3 linked regions of the Tribolium castaneum genome follow. The protein of the gene in region 2 purifies or fractionates together with the protein of the main gene of each other region. This does not show direct contact. Links are inferred from orthologs where the notes say so. Each region holds a gene or a part of one and is shown on either strand. Other genes may lie near its edges.

Region 1 (4,906 bases), on a different chromosome or scaffold from region 2:
GGTTCAATTTACACAATTTTTTACCTGCTAGACAAATACACGACAGGGTCGTTAGTCGGGTTCAGTCGTTTCAAAGCCATTTCGAGCTGCCCTTGGACCGTGGAGGGGTCATCGGGCCGGGGCATTCGACCGGTGACTTGCCTCTGAGCCCCCCTAAAAAAAACATGAAAGAGCCGCGACCGTGACTGAAGCAAGCAAATACATGAAAGGGGTCCCGATGTACGAAAAGTGGAGCAAGTAGCGATTCAGAGCCATTTTCGTGAAATACATCGCTGTTATTAAAGCGAGGTTATGTCACAAAAATAATGGTAAATAACGTGCTGTTTCCCATTTATATCTCGAATTAAAACAAGCAAGGGGCCCCCACATGCACAGTAAGCATCAAAGGGCGATTCAATGTAATTTGCGCCGATTATAGCGTTTTTTGCGAAATTAAGGTTATGTAAGATTAAGGTTATGTAATAAATAAAGCCGGGTGTTTGTTAAACATATTTATTAAATAGAAACTTAATCGCTATCGGAATTGGCGTCACTTGACGCGGGTGTGCTCTCCTCGCTTTCGGATTTATTCTTCTTTTTCTTGTCTTTGGGTTTTCCGCGTTCGCTATCGGAACCCTTCCTTTTCTTGCCTTTATCATCATCACTGTCGCTACTCGAGTCGTCGTCTTCGATAAATTCCCGACTTTTGACTTGACTGGGTTTGACGGAAGGCATAGAAGAGGTTTTCTTCTTTGCTGGTGCTTTTTTCTCACTTGACTTTTTATCTTCCGATTTTGAACCCCCTGAAGCTTCATACTCCTTCATGGCCTTGTTGTACTCCTCTTTGGCTTTGGCCGCTTTCCCCTCCCACTCAGACTTATCCTTCAATTCCTTCCACATCTCTCCACCTTTCTTTGCAATTTCGGTGATTTTAATCCCGGGATTATCTGCCTTGATTTTATCCCTCATCTCATTTAACCATAGCATGAACGCCGTCGATGGTCTTTTCGGTTTATTTTCGTCCTTTGATTTCTTGGCCCGCTTTTGGCGCGGTTTCTCCGACACTGTCTTAGCCGGTTTCTTCTTTTCTTTCTTCTCCTTCTTCTCTTTTTTGTGCTTCTTCTTATGTTCATCACCGGAACCTTTCTCTTCGTCTTCGGACGACGTTGAGCTCGGACTTGAATCAAACTCTTCAGCAACGTCACTCTCATCCTGAGTTGGCTTGAAATCTTCATCAGTACTCTCATCTTCACTTGGACCATCGTCATCATCTTCATCACGTTCTTGTGCCTCGGCCTTAACCCTCTCCAAGTAGGCATCAGGGGCCGCCTCATTATCCGAATCGCCAAAATCGTCATTATAGCCCCCTTTATCCTGAAAGAACCAATCAAATTAAACCAAACCAAAACGAGTGAAATTGTTACGTTTTTGCCCCGATTTTTGATATTCAGTTTCTTGGTGGTAATGAAATCAAACAATTTGTTGTATTCTTCCTTCTCAATGCTGCTAAAGGTGTGGACAGTCCCGGATTTGAGCTCAATTTCGAAATCAAACGAACGGGTACTTCCCCCACCTCGGGCGAAATTCACAGAAGCCACTTCCTCGAAACGAATGTGAATTGGGGGCTTGTGGACGTACATGAAGCCCCGTTCAAGGGGGTACAAGTAACCAGCGGCTGCCTTGAACGAACAGCCGATAGCTGGGGTCCCTGAATGCCCGACAAAGCCCCCCGGGCCGGTCAGTTTTCGATTAATTATAACCTTCATGACTTTGCCTAAGACCTCGTAAGTGGGGCCTGATAACTCCTTATCCAGCTTGCCCTCATACTTGTCCTTGAGTTCCTCACTGGAATTATTAATTAGGAAAAAATTTTGGCCTAATAATTAATTAATTAATTACTCGGTAAAGGGTAATTCGATCGAAGTCTCCTCTTCTTGACCAAATAACAAGACCAAAAAATGATACCTGGTTTGGCCCTGTTTGATGGGTGGATCAAGACTCACTACGAAAAACATCTGCCGGTTGTCTTTGTGTGGAAGGAGAAACAAACGCAAGACTGTCGACATTGGGATTTTATAATCGAATGTTTTTCCATGCAATTGGAAAAACGTTTGGAAAATTTTAATATCGTAACGACCACTAGAAAAAAATTCTTAGGGAAATTTATTTGTGGTTTTTCAAACCAACCGTGGTGTGAGACACTGAATCTCCCGAAATATCGCAATAGCGTCGCCTGAGACACTGATAACCGAAGCCTTCTTCATGACTTGTTTTTGGAAGGCTTCAACTGGGTCCACGTCTCCGGCTAATTCGTTTGAAGGAATGAAAAATCGCATTTCCATGAGGCTTACAGGGGCGTCATCATTCTAAAATCGATTAGTTTTTGACAAAACGGCCAGAAAACGGGGAAAAAAGTTTGATTTCTAACAAAAAACGTGTAATTTCGAACGTAACAGTTAAAAACAATTTGGTGATTTTGTTATGTTTTAACGAAATTTTAAGAAAAAAGCTGAGAAACGTGTTTAAAACCTTGGTAAAAGTAAAAAGTTTGAAATAAAAATAAGCGCCCCCTTCCCACCTGATGAAACTCCATCGTGATTTCATTCTTCCCCGCCGTACATTGAGACACATGATTGAGCGGAATCTCGAAAGCGCTGTTATGTCCCACCTCGAAGCTCAAAACCGAGCCGTTGAACTTGGCTGTGCCCCAGTTCCAGCCCTTGAGACTCAACTCCTTCTCCAGCATGTCGATTTTGTAAGTGTTCGAGAAGAATTTGGCGATACGTTCCTTTTCCGCGTCCTTAAACCCGACAAATCGGTGCAAAGTGCCGTTCTTGAGGAACACGCGGATCCCCAACGAACCGGCAAAGTTCTGGAAATTGACTGCCTCGAAATCGGACGCCGAAATTGACTCGACTTTGCCCGTCTTCGAGTTTTTGAAAATGATGTTTTGGTCGGTCATTTTGAGTTTACCGCCGGTCTGAAACGAGGAAATTGAGGGGGAATTGGGGGAATGGGGGCTAACGTACCATGCAGCCTTTGACTTCGGCAGAGATGTCCGAATATTCCAGGAAATCCATCTTGGGGAAAATTCACTCAAAGTTTGGTTTAATTTACGAAAAAAACAATATAAAAACACAAAAACTTAGCTCAAGTATTTTTTGTGGTGTTTCTTTTTGTTTGGATTTTTTTTACAGGTTATGCCGCCATTTGACGCAACTTCGGCCTTGAAGTCAGGCTGCCACAACAAGCCCGCGAAACCACTAGAAATAAGTTGGCAGCGTTACGCAATTAAAAAAAATTACAAATTCAAAATTGTTATTTTATTGTAATTACAAATGTAAATTACTTAGTATTCATTGTAATAAACAAATAAACGAGAGGGCTAAATTTATTTTGTTTTATTTTTGCCCACAACCAAAAATTAGTTCTTTTCATTCTGAAACCAAAATACAACTTTTTAAATTTATGAGGTGTAATAAAATTCTGCCCGACTTGAGTTACTTTGCATAAAGCGTATTCAGTTTCAATAATAATGTCACTTGACATAAAAAATGCTCTTGTGGTCGCAAATAATCCGACTGGAAACCACAAACAGTCAAAATGAAGAAAAAGTTATTTGTGGTCGCTTTTATCTGAAAGTTTGGAAATTATCGTAAATGTTGACGCGGTTTTGGATTTTTTTTTGGAAATTCTATTAAACCAAATCAATAAAATCATGGGTGCTCAAATATTTATAAAATGGTAGGTGCGTGGACCGAAAAATATATAAAAAACGACGATATTTTAAATAATTATTAAAAAACTCCTTTCTCCGCTTTGAATGGGCAAAATCGCAGGTTGATGACTTTTTTCCTTCCGTCAATGACAGCAATACCGGAGTTGGCTGTCAAAGCCCGGCATTCACCGGATCCGCCAATCCGGTGCCGCCATTCCGGTCATATGACCCCAACTTGTTTATTTTGAGCATCAGCATCTTGATTTCAGGAGAGGCACTCGACGAGTGCAGTGGTCGTGTAAAGTGTCTCGTAATAACGCGAGTTGCTGAAAAAAAAATTCAGCGCGTTTCAGTTTTACGAACGTTTTCATTCGCTATGTAAGAAAAAAACAAAACGCGCGAATGGCAACGAGTGCTGTTTTGTGACCTGAAAAATTCTCCTCTTCCATTTGCTCGTCTTGTATGTAGTTTGGAAAATGCTGGGCGTCTTAAAGCGACGTTGGAAACCCAAAAGGTGAGATATTTTGAGAAATGGCGACCTTGACGCTTTTTAACACCTCTGTAAAAATAGACCACGAGGAGAAGGCGCGTTTGTAAATTTTTGCCAAATCTTTTATGCATGTGGATGAAAAGTAGGCCGTTTTTCCGTTTTGCAATTGTTTGGTTTATTATTGTTATTGATCCCGGTAGCCTGGCAATCCCCTCCGCGATGCTCAGCTGTTCCACTGTTGATATCTTATCGATCCGGGCAAACTAACCTCAATCTCCACCAAAAACCTATATACCACTCTTTTTCCTAGCTAATTTTTACGTTTTTGAGGAAAAAAATCCAGGAAATTCGGGTTAGAGGAAACGATAAATTGATAAAGTGATAAGATATTTGCTGAATTATAGCTAATTCGTCGAAAGTATGAGTATATTGGATGAGTCCAAAGGGTGGCTCAGTGGGAGTCTTTAAATAAAGTAGGATGAAATTTATGAGATACAAAGAAAGTAAATATTGGGGGTCATGGCGTGAAGAATGTGAATGTTGCTAAAAATAGCTCATTGAATAAAATCGACTTTTGTTAAAATTTAATTAATCATAAATGCAAGACTTGACCTGATTTTGTTGGGGATTTATTCCATTTTCGCATTGTTTTGTGCGTTTGTGTGACAGTTGGCTTTGACACTTTGACACCTTGTATTAAGTTGGCCTTGACTGTTTGA
Region 2 (5,010 bases):
ATAAGATAAATTGCCAGTGCCTTTAAGTAAGAATTTCGAAACTGAAATAGTAAAAAAATCCACGACGTTTTAAGAAATTGAAATTAAAATTTCATTAAGATCAGATAAACATTCAAAAACCATAGCAGCTGTCGTCCCTAACGGGGCTTCCTCTGTAGCCATGTAAGGGAAACTTCCTTAAATCCCCTACCTTAAATTTAATTATTAATGACAAACCTTTTTAATACTTTTGCTGCTCAGGTACTGGAAAATACTGCGACTCCTTGTCGCCTCCTCGTGCAATTTGTAATATTCTTTACTCGAAATGTATACTTGCAGCAGTTGGACGCCTAGAGGTAGCTCAAAATTGACGCTAGGTGTCTCTGCCGGGCATTTAATTCGGTACGGATCCGTTAATACAATTCGTTTCGTTATGTCTGAACTCAGCTGAGTTGCTACGACCCTACAACCAAAATACAATAATCAAAATAACAGTTCCCCGTAATTTACAATTACTTGTTATGGTACAACAACGTGCCGCCCATGACATAATTGAGTTCTTGGCAACACTGTAGTATTTGTATGGCCTCTAAAAACACATTACTTGCGCTCTGAGGACAAACAATTAGATTAAACGCTCCAAAGATCGATTTTTGCCACCTTTGGTAGTTTCAGCGACGGAGTATAGGAAAAAATATTGCCGCCCAGAAACATGTACTTTAGATAAGTCTCGAATAATTGATACAGTTTTGCGGAGAGTTTCGCGCTGTTGTCGTACAACTTCGACATGATTTCAATGTCCTGGTGGAAGAAGCTTATCAGTGAAGACATTGTGTTGGCCCTATGTTCCAGTAACCAATCCGCAATGTTGCGATCGGTGCCTACGGCCTTGGCACACCACCAAATTAAACAAAATTACGCGAAAGACAAGCAACAAACCATCAGATACCGCCCATACTCCTTAATAAAAAATTTGCCGCTCTGTAACGAGACTATTTTCGGGGCGGAAAAAATACTTTTAACGCAATGAACGGTGCCCATTAGCTGGCCACACAAAGCCGTTTTTTGCTGGTCTGACACCCACGTTGGGTGGAAATACAAAATTGCGCTCGCAGGGTCGTCTTCTTCTTTCTGGAGCATCTGAGAGTCATAGACTAGGATTATCATCATTTCCCTGTAAACGGTCGGTTATCTGGTTATCAGAGACTGTGGCAATACTCACTTTGCCATTTTCTTGTGAATTTTTCACTCAATATAAACACAAGACTTTTTATTGATGTTTACACAACTGTGACATAACCTCACTTTTCGCAAGTAAACAAATACCTGACAAGTTATGTAATAATTCCTTAATTGACTTGTAACGTTACCTACGCGTTAAATCATGTTTTTGTCCGGGTTTTTGAAAAACTGGTGATTGATTAAAACAATAAAAACACTGATACGCCACTGGAAATGTCCAAAATACCTGTACAGGACCGCCAGTACCGCCACACCTGAATCCAAAAAAAAAAGTAAAAAACCCTACATCATTTTATAGAAAATCGTATTTTATGTATAATAAGAGGCTTAATTCTTGTTTTTATTCAAGCCGTAAAGGTTCTGTGAAAATGGGACTTAAAAAAAACAAGTTTTATGCATATTTCTGTTTCCAAGCCAAGGTGCGTAGCAATGTTGTGCTGGTCGACTATAATTTTCAAACGATAACCTTTTGCGTTGCTATCATTACCGGCAAACTTTGACAGTGACAGCTGTTTTGGAGGGAAAGGTATTTGTCAAAAAGGCAAACATGCATAAAAATGATCATCATGTGTTTATGTACTTGAGTCACTATTAATAACAGAAAAAATGGACGAACAAAGTGGGTTTCCTGTTTTTAATTTATTATAAACCAACAAACACCTTATTTAATTACAGAACTTTTGAAACGGAGAAATAAAGCCCTCCGAGAAAACAATGAAGGGGTCCTTATCAGCGTTTGCACCGACTTGGCTAATTTATACGTCGACAAAGGCAGGTTTGACTTTGCTATAGAGGAGTACACCACTGTTGCAAACATTTACAAGAAACAAAACAAGCAATTGGAGTATGCTGTAGTCAGTAGAGGCATAGGTGAGGCCTATTTGGGCTTACAAAAGTTTGATAAAGCCTTGAAACTCCAAAAAATCTACTTAGGTAAGTCGTTACGTTGGTAGTATAGAAACGAGCCACTTACCTGGCATAGATATTGCAAGGGAATTGAAAAATAAGCTGGAGGAACAACGTGCCCTTGCCACCATTGGCCACACTTACCTCACCACCTACCTAGATTCACCCGAACCCGACAAAAACAACCTAAACCTGGCCAATAAATTTTTCATGAAGAGTTTAGTAGTGTCACAGAGGTGCTTATTTACAATTAAACGAGTTATTTTCTTAGTTTGATGAATGGTTTTAGTTTAGTTGGGGAGGCGAGTAAACTGGAAATTGCAGACATGTGTGCGCGCCTTTATTGCAATTTAGGCTTAGTCCAGGACTCTCTCGGTAATTACGACAAAGCTTTGGAACTTTTTACCAAGTCTATAAACCAGTGCAAGGCTCACGACTTGTACGAGCAGCTGCAAAGGGGCTACATGTCCCTATCGTCCCTTTTGGTCAAAAAGGGGGACAGTAAGGCGGCCCTTCAACAGTGTAATTTGGCCGCTGAGACTGCAAGTGAGTAACACAAAAAGGGGGCTCAAGAGTTGAAATAATTACAATTTGTTAGAAAAATTACGGAATAAGGCTGTTCTTTTGGCTGGGATTTTTTTGAGCAAGTCTGAGATTCTCTTAAAGTTGGGGGATTTACACGGGGCCAAGAACGCCCTCCACAAGGCGTACAAACTTAACACGCCGGATGTCAAGGAGCGGAAAACGATAGAAAATAATTTGAAAGTTGGTGAGTAAAATAACACAAAAAAATAATTTCTTGTGATCGTGATTATTTTAGTCGCTTCAATGTGTTACAACCAGGATAAGCTTTTGGTCACTGATAGCACTGACTATCCTACCTTAAAGAAATTGTACGAAAAGATGGGCGATGGCGCATGCCATTTGAAACTCTACACCAAAGCGCTCGATTATTACAAAAAAATGATGGAGACGGCGGAAAAGGCCGAAATGACCGGTCCGGACCTGGCTTCGTGTTATTACAGTCTGGCGGAGACTTACAAAGACAACGGCCAGTTTGAGGAAGCTGTTGAGTATTTCGAGAAAGAGTTGGTTCTTTGCAAGAATTTGAAGGACAGTTTGAATACTTTGAGCAATATTGCGGATACAAAAGAAGCAGCAAATGAGCCGATTAGTGAAGTTAGAGCTGTCTATAGCCGAGCTATAGAGAGTTGTCAAAGGGAAGGGAACGTACATGAGGAAGGCCGAATGTTAAAACGCCAAATTCTGTATTTGAGGCGACAAAAACAACATTCGGAAGCGTTCAATTTGGAGCAGAGCTTGGCAAAATTGGATTTTCACAGTTCGGACAGTGAGGGCGAAAGCTCCGACGCTCAGACCGAGTCTGTGGTGGGAGCGGAAATCGACTTGGAAGCTATCACAGGTGAAACACTTTTTTTATAATACCTAATAATTATAAACGACCTATTTGATCCAGAGGCAGCCAACCAAGTTATTTTATTTTAAATTAATGTAAACATAAATAATTAAATAATAAGACCATATTTAAAGTTGGAAAGCACCAATAATCTTTTCGAAGTTTAAAATTGAAAATATCGTAGCTGGAAAATAAGACCTCTACAAGCAAGTTGACATATTCCCTAAATCGTAATTCTATCAATCTATCAAATTGCAAGATTTTTTACGTTAAACGTCCTGAAGTAATTGATTGGAATAAAATTTAACGACGTTAGGACAGCTTTCTTAACAAAAAGACGAGTTGCAACGTTTCGTTCATATAATAAACTTCATCAGGCTAAAATTATACATAAAAATACAATATAACCACAATTAATTACATCAATTGGGAAATTTAATTTGATTTTTTGGAGTTATTTCCTTATGGTTGAATGTTTCTAACGTAAAATGACCGGCGGAATCCAAATCTGCAAGAATCAGATCGCTACGGCCAACCGTTCGGAAGATATCATCAAAACTATAGTCTCGTCACAAAAATGTCTCAACTAAACTTACGTCATTATCGGTCAATTTTTTGAAGTTAGTTTCCTATGATTGAGTGTTTCTAACGTAAAATGACCGGCGGAATCAAAATCTGCAAGAATCAGTTCGCTACGGCTAACCGTTCCGAAAATATCATCAAAAATATAGTCTCATTACAAAAATGTCTCAACTAAACTCAGGTCATTATCTGTCAATTTTTTGGAGTCATTGCCTTATGATTGAGTGTTTCTAACGTAAAATGACCGGCGGAATCCAAATCTGCAAGAATCAGATCGCTACGGCTAACCGTTCGAAAGATATCATCAAAACTATAGTCTCGTTACAAAAATGTCTTAACTAAACTCACGTCATTATCTGTCAATTTTTTGGAGTCATTGCCTTATGATTGAGTGTTTCTAACGTAAAATGACCGGCGGAATCCAAATCTGCAAGAATCAGATCGCTACGGCTAACTGTTTTTTGTTAATTTTGTATGTAATTAATTGTGGTGATCTAGGGTGGTGATACATTAATGGTGGTACATTAATAGCTAATGTAATTCATAGTTTCAACGAGAAATCAATCATTATAGGCATTGGCAACTTATTTTATATATTACACATGTTTTAACGGAAAATATCGTTCTTTTTAAAATTCCCTGCGATGAAAAATAAGCGAGATAATTGCTTCGAAAGGAAGAAATCGTGACGTCACAACCGCCTCTTATCACTGAACCCTCTGAGTCACCAAAAACCTGTCAGATATTTGTAGATTTTCCACAAATCTTCCACAAAATAAAAAATTACCTACTTTCTCGACTTCCTTATCTCCTAAACTTTAACTTTATCTTTGCGAAAACATCTAAGAAATTTTTTCAATTTTTGATAAACTCTGTCAGTGTCA
Region 3 (5,109 bases), on a different chromosome or scaffold from region 2:
ATTAATAAAATTATCAACGTTGTTTGTAAGTAGACAATCAAAATTAAGGTTCAGATATATTTGTATGTTGTTCGAGCAATGTTGTATCAATAAATAACAATAACACGAGGACTATGTTTAATAATTATTTACAATAGGATTTGTTAACATTTTTAATGTAACTCAGTGTAAAGTTTATTAAATAAAGGTTTACCAAAACGTGCCTGTTTTAATTATTTATACAGAGTGTCCGTTTTTCGACCTCCATCTGTTATTATAAGAATACGAGGTTTATAATTATTATTAATTTTTTTATAATTAAACAAAACAGAAATTTTTAATTTTAATTTTTTCAAGGGAAAGCTAAAAACTAGACGTTTTTAAATAGGAAGTTCCAAGGCGTTCTTCCTGACTGCGTTTCAAACACTCAACTTTGGTTTTTCTTGGAAAGGTATATTCGATTTTTGTATTTTTGAAAAGTCTTTTTATTTCTGATTACAACGATGTATCACATGATATGATCGAATTTTACATGGTGATCAAAATGGAGAAAAAAAGCTTTTTTGCGAAGAGTGCTTTGGGGAAGACGTCAACAATTTTGTTTTTAAGCTAACTAGATTTTAGAGGTTTAATTCAATTTGGATCTGAAAGTTTCACATTTCCGCCAAGCTTACTTATTTAAAAACTAAGACATGATAAGCTACAATTTTACTCCTAAAGTTATAAATACTTTGCTCGCATGTTTGATAGAACTGTCAAAATATAGTTTGTTAAACATCATTCTTGACGTTTTTTCCAAAGCACTCTTTGCAAAAACGCTTTTTTCTTAATTTTAATTATCATGTAAGATTCATTCATATTATGTAATACATCGTTGTAATCAGGAATAAAAAAAACTTTTCACAAATACAAATGTTAAAAATGGTGTTTATAAGAAAAATCAAAGCAATTGGCTTTGAGAAAATCGCAAAATTACCACTAGTTTTTTAGAGTTATAATTTTTTTAATTTTATCTATTTCTGCCTTTATTTGGAATTTTCTTGAAAATTATTAGCCAAAGAACAATGTTTTTTTTTTAAAAGATAGATAATTGTAAGAGCTTTCCAACGCTAATAAACTTCCATAAGGTTATCTCGAATAGTTCGAAAGTTACTACATGAAAAATATTTTCGTTTTCCGACAAAAATCTCGAAAAAATGGGAAAAAAACTTTAAAATATCGAACCTATTGACTTTTTTGTACTTTCAACAACTCCGTGGGTTATGTAAAGGCATAGAAAAGTTTATAAAATTTTGCTAGTGAGTTAATTTTTTTTAATTTTTGAAAAGGTAAGTGCCTCGATTATTAAATTTTAAGCAGAAAATTTCAAAATATTGTGAAAAGCTGGTAGAATACATAAAACCAGCCGTAGAATTCACTGAATCAAACCGTTTTGCTATACGACTTTTGTCTTTATGATCAAAATCCAGAACAGCTTTGAATTTTGACGAAAAAATAGATTATTGTAAGCGATATCTGATTTTGCTCTAGATTTTATAAAAAAAAAGCAAAAAAAAGTTTCCCATTTTCATTTTTTTAATAAGCGTTTTTTTCCTTCGTGATTGATAAATTAGTGCAAACTGAGAGAAAGAAATGTAATCTAAATAGATAATTACCGTTCGAAATTCTTGAATATTTATGATAGAGTGGCGGTTTCAGACCATAAGTTAAATTTTCCGCTAATTTGGTAGTTTGAAAAACATTTCGCTAGAGGCCGCTTTGTTAGTTACTTCCATCGGTAACAGAGATACCCGTCTGGCGGGTAAAAATGTATGGTTATGTTCGTAGTCACTTTCCCGCCTTTTTTGCGTTATTGTTTACTCTGTTTTTCCCGAATTTTTCGTTCTAAATCGCTAAAACATGGATGTAGCCAACGTCCAGGTCGGCCAGAGGCAACACCAGGATGAAATCGGTGTCAGGTGCCAGAAATTATTCCAGGATTTCTTAGAAGAGTAAGTACCCCCTTACCAACCCCCCAATTGGTATTATCACACATGAGGCGCCCCCAGATTTAAAGAGGACGGCGAAATCAAGTATTTGGAGCCGGCTAAGGAGCTCCTCAACCAAGAGCGCAGCACTATTGAAGTCAGTTTTGAAGATTTAGAGAAATATAACCAAAATCTTGCAACGACCGTTATCGAGGAGTATTACCGGATTTACCCTTATCTTTGCCAAGCCGTCTCTAATTTCGTTAAAGACCGCAGCGATTTGAAAAAAGATAAAGAGTGTTATATCAGCTTTGTTGATGTTCCAACAAGACACAAAGTACGAGAATTGAAAACTGAGAAAGTTGGGACTTTGATTCGGATCTCAGGACAGGTTATCAGGACTCACCCTGTACACCCTGAACTGATTTTGGGGACTTTCGTCTGTTTGGATTGCCAAACTGTCATTAAAGATGTTGAGCAACAATTTAAGGTAGATTTTTTTGTTTTTGTTTTAAGAGCTGTTTATTAATCTAAATTCACAGTTTACTAATCCGACGATTTGTCGCAACCCTGTTTGCAATAACAGGAGACGCTTTATGCTAGATGTGGACAAGTCCCTATTTGTGGACTTCCAGAAAGTCCGGATACAGGAAACTCAAGCCGAGTTGCCAAGGGGGTGCATTCCGAGGTGTGTTGAGGTGATTTTAAGAGCCGAAAATGTGGAAACAGTCCAGGTAACAATTTTTCACCAAAAAATAAGTTGGCTACATTGATGGTCATGTCAGTCATTGTAGCCAACTTAATTTCATGTTACTAAACAAATGATTGAAAAAGGCCGGCGATCGTTATGACTTCACGGGGACTCTCATCGTGGTCCCGGACGTGGGGGCTTTGGCTCTTCCTGGGGCGAAGGCTCAGATCAACTCGCGTCACAAGGGTGGTGACGATACTGAAGGGGTTAGGGGTCTCAAAGCCCTAGGAGTGCGTGATCTTCATTACAGAATGGCGTTTCTCGCGTGTAGTGTTCAGCCCACTAACCCCAAATTTGGGGGTATTGAGATGCCTCTTAATGAGATTACTCCCGAAATTATGCGACAGCAGATGACAGAGGGCGAGTGGAATCACATGTATGAGATGAGCCACGACAGGAATTTGTATCAGAATCTCATCAATAGTTTATTTCCGAGTATTCACGGGAATGAGGAGGTCAAAAGGGGGATACTTTTGATGCTGTTTGGGGGAGTTTCCAAGACGACAGTTGAAGGTTGGTTTATTGCTAACTTTGTTCTAATCTGACTTGTCTTTATATCTTATGGACGCTAAGTGTTATTTCTTTTGCTAGAAAATTCTGAAAAAAATTAAATAACATTTACTATTTCTGTTGTTCTGAATGCAAAAAACTAGGAACAAAACAAGTCGAAACAACTCATTTCACAGATTATTTTTGCATAAGTTGAGGATTTTTTTATTAAGGGCAACAGTCCTTAAAAAATAAAAGAAGTCGCAGAAACTGTTGTCAACAAGTACAAAATTAAAACTTGTTCTTTTTGTTTCTATCAACAGAAAAGGACCAATTATTAAAAAAGACAGATTATTGTGAAAAAATTGGATTTTTTTTTAAATATCAACGATTCTTATTGAATAATATGTTAAATAAAAAAATAAGTTGAAAATTAAATTTTACAGCATTTTTGCAAGATTTTGTAACATTTTTACTTAACATTTCGCTAATATGTGAAATAAAATCAATAAAAAAAAAGACCAGTTATTAAATGAATGCTAGACTGCAGTTATTCCTGTAAGGAAAGTGGTTGTGTTACAAATATCACGTTGCATCTTAAATAAATACATATTTTTGCGCCTGTAAATGCAACCAGCAATACATCTAATATAAAGACTGCTCTAAATTTGTCAAATTGATATAATAATGAACTAAATAAGAATGAGGTAAAAAATGTTTATTAGAAAATGTAACGAATAGAGGAATTATTGGTTTTGAAATCAAATACAACACAAAAATCAATTTTTCTCACTTAACGGTAAATAACAAAAAAAAATACACTTACCTTTGTAGCATCTTTTTCTGTTGCAGTTTGTAGCAAGACATTAAAAATAAATTAAAAACAAAATAAACGCAAAAATGAGAAAACGAAATAATTATAATTCTGAATTAAACTAATTTGAATTAAGTTGACATTTATTTAACTTTAACTTTTCTAAAAATACTATTGCAGTATTCTATTTCATTAGCACACACTAACCGAAATCGGCACGCACTTTTCAACGATTTTGAAATTTTTAAACCGCAAAATTCTTTATTTATGTTATGAGGCGTCTGCATGCCACGACATCAAGTAACAAACTGAATAAGATTAAACGGCACAATAATAATTGTATAAAAATATGGATACAACGTTACAAAAAAAATCTGTGATATAAGAATTGTTACAAAGTGGGAAACAAACTGATTCATTGATCTTTATTACGATTACGTCATGTAACGTATTTTTGAATCGCTGAAATTCATTTCTGAAGCAAATAATTTCAGTCAACAGTTCGTAATTTCGTTATTCTGAAAAATACACTATTACAGAACCACCTCTAAGGAGAATTCTATCATTTGTAGTGTATTGAGACAAAATTCTATTTGTGCTTTCTGGAAATATTATGTCACGAAATTTTTTGGCTTTAAATATTTTTAACGATATTCTAGAATATTTGATAGGTTACTTAATAATGTCCGTTAATGCATCTTTACAAAAAGTAAATGTGTAATAGGTGGAAACTAATCACCAAAGAAACAAATATACAGGGTGTCCCAAGTTTTTTGGTCCGCGCAAAAATAAATATTTCTAGTTGAGTAAAAAATGATATTAATATGCCAAACGATGGAAAATTAATTACGCTGCAATATGATGATATGGTGTAGACTCACCTTACACAGGGTGGTGCATTTTCTACGTCCTAACTAAAGAGGTTTACAAAAAAAATGAGTGACATAATGTTATCAGCGCTTTTTTTTAATCACTCGTTTAGCTGTAATAACATAAAGTATTTTTTTAAATGAGAATCATAGTTGGCTATGACATTTTCGAAAAGCTTATTTTCTCCTGAACTGGAAACAATATAAATATAGTTTAATATTTTTATATATTTTCGATAA

The links.
Region 1: the proteins of tonsoku-like protein (region 2) and Ssrp purify together in Homo sapiens (affinity purification with mass spectrometry; 5 studies listed by BioGRID and IntAct, counting the BioPlex papers as one, with this or other methods). This does not show direct contact. The link is inferred for Tribolium castaneum from reciprocal best matches to the Homo sapiens genes TONSL and SSRP1.
Region 3: the proteins of tonsoku-like protein (region 2) and Mcm6 purify together in Homo sapiens (affinity purification with mass spectrometry; 3 studies listed by BioGRID and IntAct, with this or other methods). This does not show direct contact. The link is inferred for Tribolium castaneum from reciprocal best matches to the Homo sapiens genes TONSL and MCM6.

What each region holds. Positions count from the first base shown.
Region 1 is NC_087395.1:25,956,789-25,961,694, forward strand, and holds Ssrp (FACT complex subunit Ssrp1), read right to left. Parts: upstream 3,220-4,906; 5' UTR 3,060-3,219; coding exon 3,009-3,059; intron 2,960-3,008; coding exon 2,558-2,959; intron 2,346-2,557; coding exon 2,167-2,345; intron 2,119-2,166; coding exon 1,879-2,118; intron 1,825-1,878; coding exon 1,404-1,824; intron 1,354-1,403; coding exon 508-1,353; 3' UTR 479-507; downstream 1-478. Other genes in the region: tRNA pseudouridine synthase-like 1, read right to left, coding at 25-153, 203-270; uncharacterized protein LOC661743, read left to right, coding at 4,174-4,211. UniProt on the Homo sapiens protein: Component of the FACT complex, a general chromatin factor that acts to reorganize nucleosomes. The FACT complex is involved in multiple processes that require DNA as a template such as mRNA elongation, DNA replication and DNA repair.
Region 2 is NC_087394.1:23,965,000-23,970,009, forward strand, and holds the start of tonsoku-like protein, read left to right. Parts: upstream 1-1,692; 5' UTR 1,693-1,827; coding exon 1,828-1,840; intron 1,841-1,896; coding exon 1,897-2,154; intron 2,155-2,203; coding exon 2,204-2,363; intron 2,364-2,416; coding exon 2,417-2,673; intron 2,674-2,725; coding exon 2,726-2,896; intron 2,897-2,947; coding exon 2,948-3,550; intron 3,551-5,010. Other genes in the region: uncharacterized protein HPS4, read right to left, coding at 217-442, 496-590, 640-867, 919-1,153, 1,202-1,209. UniProt on the Homo sapiens protein: Component of the MMS22L-TONSL complex, a complex that promotes homologous recombination-mediated repair of double-strand breaks (DSBs) at stalled or collapsed replication forks.
Region 3 is NC_087400.1:6,014,717-6,019,825, reverse strand, and holds the start of Mcm6 (DNA replication licensing factor Mcm6), read left to right. Parts: upstream 1-1,769; 5' UTR 1,770-1,878; coding exon 1,879-1,970; intron 1,971-2,027; coding exon 2,028-2,436; intron 2,437-2,488; coding exon 2,489-2,680; intron 2,681-2,780; coding exon 2,781-3,210; intron 3,211-5,109. UniProt on the Homo sapiens protein: Acts as a component of the MCM2-7 complex (MCM complex) which is the replicative helicase essential for 'once per cell cycle' DNA replication initiation and elongation in eukaryotic cells.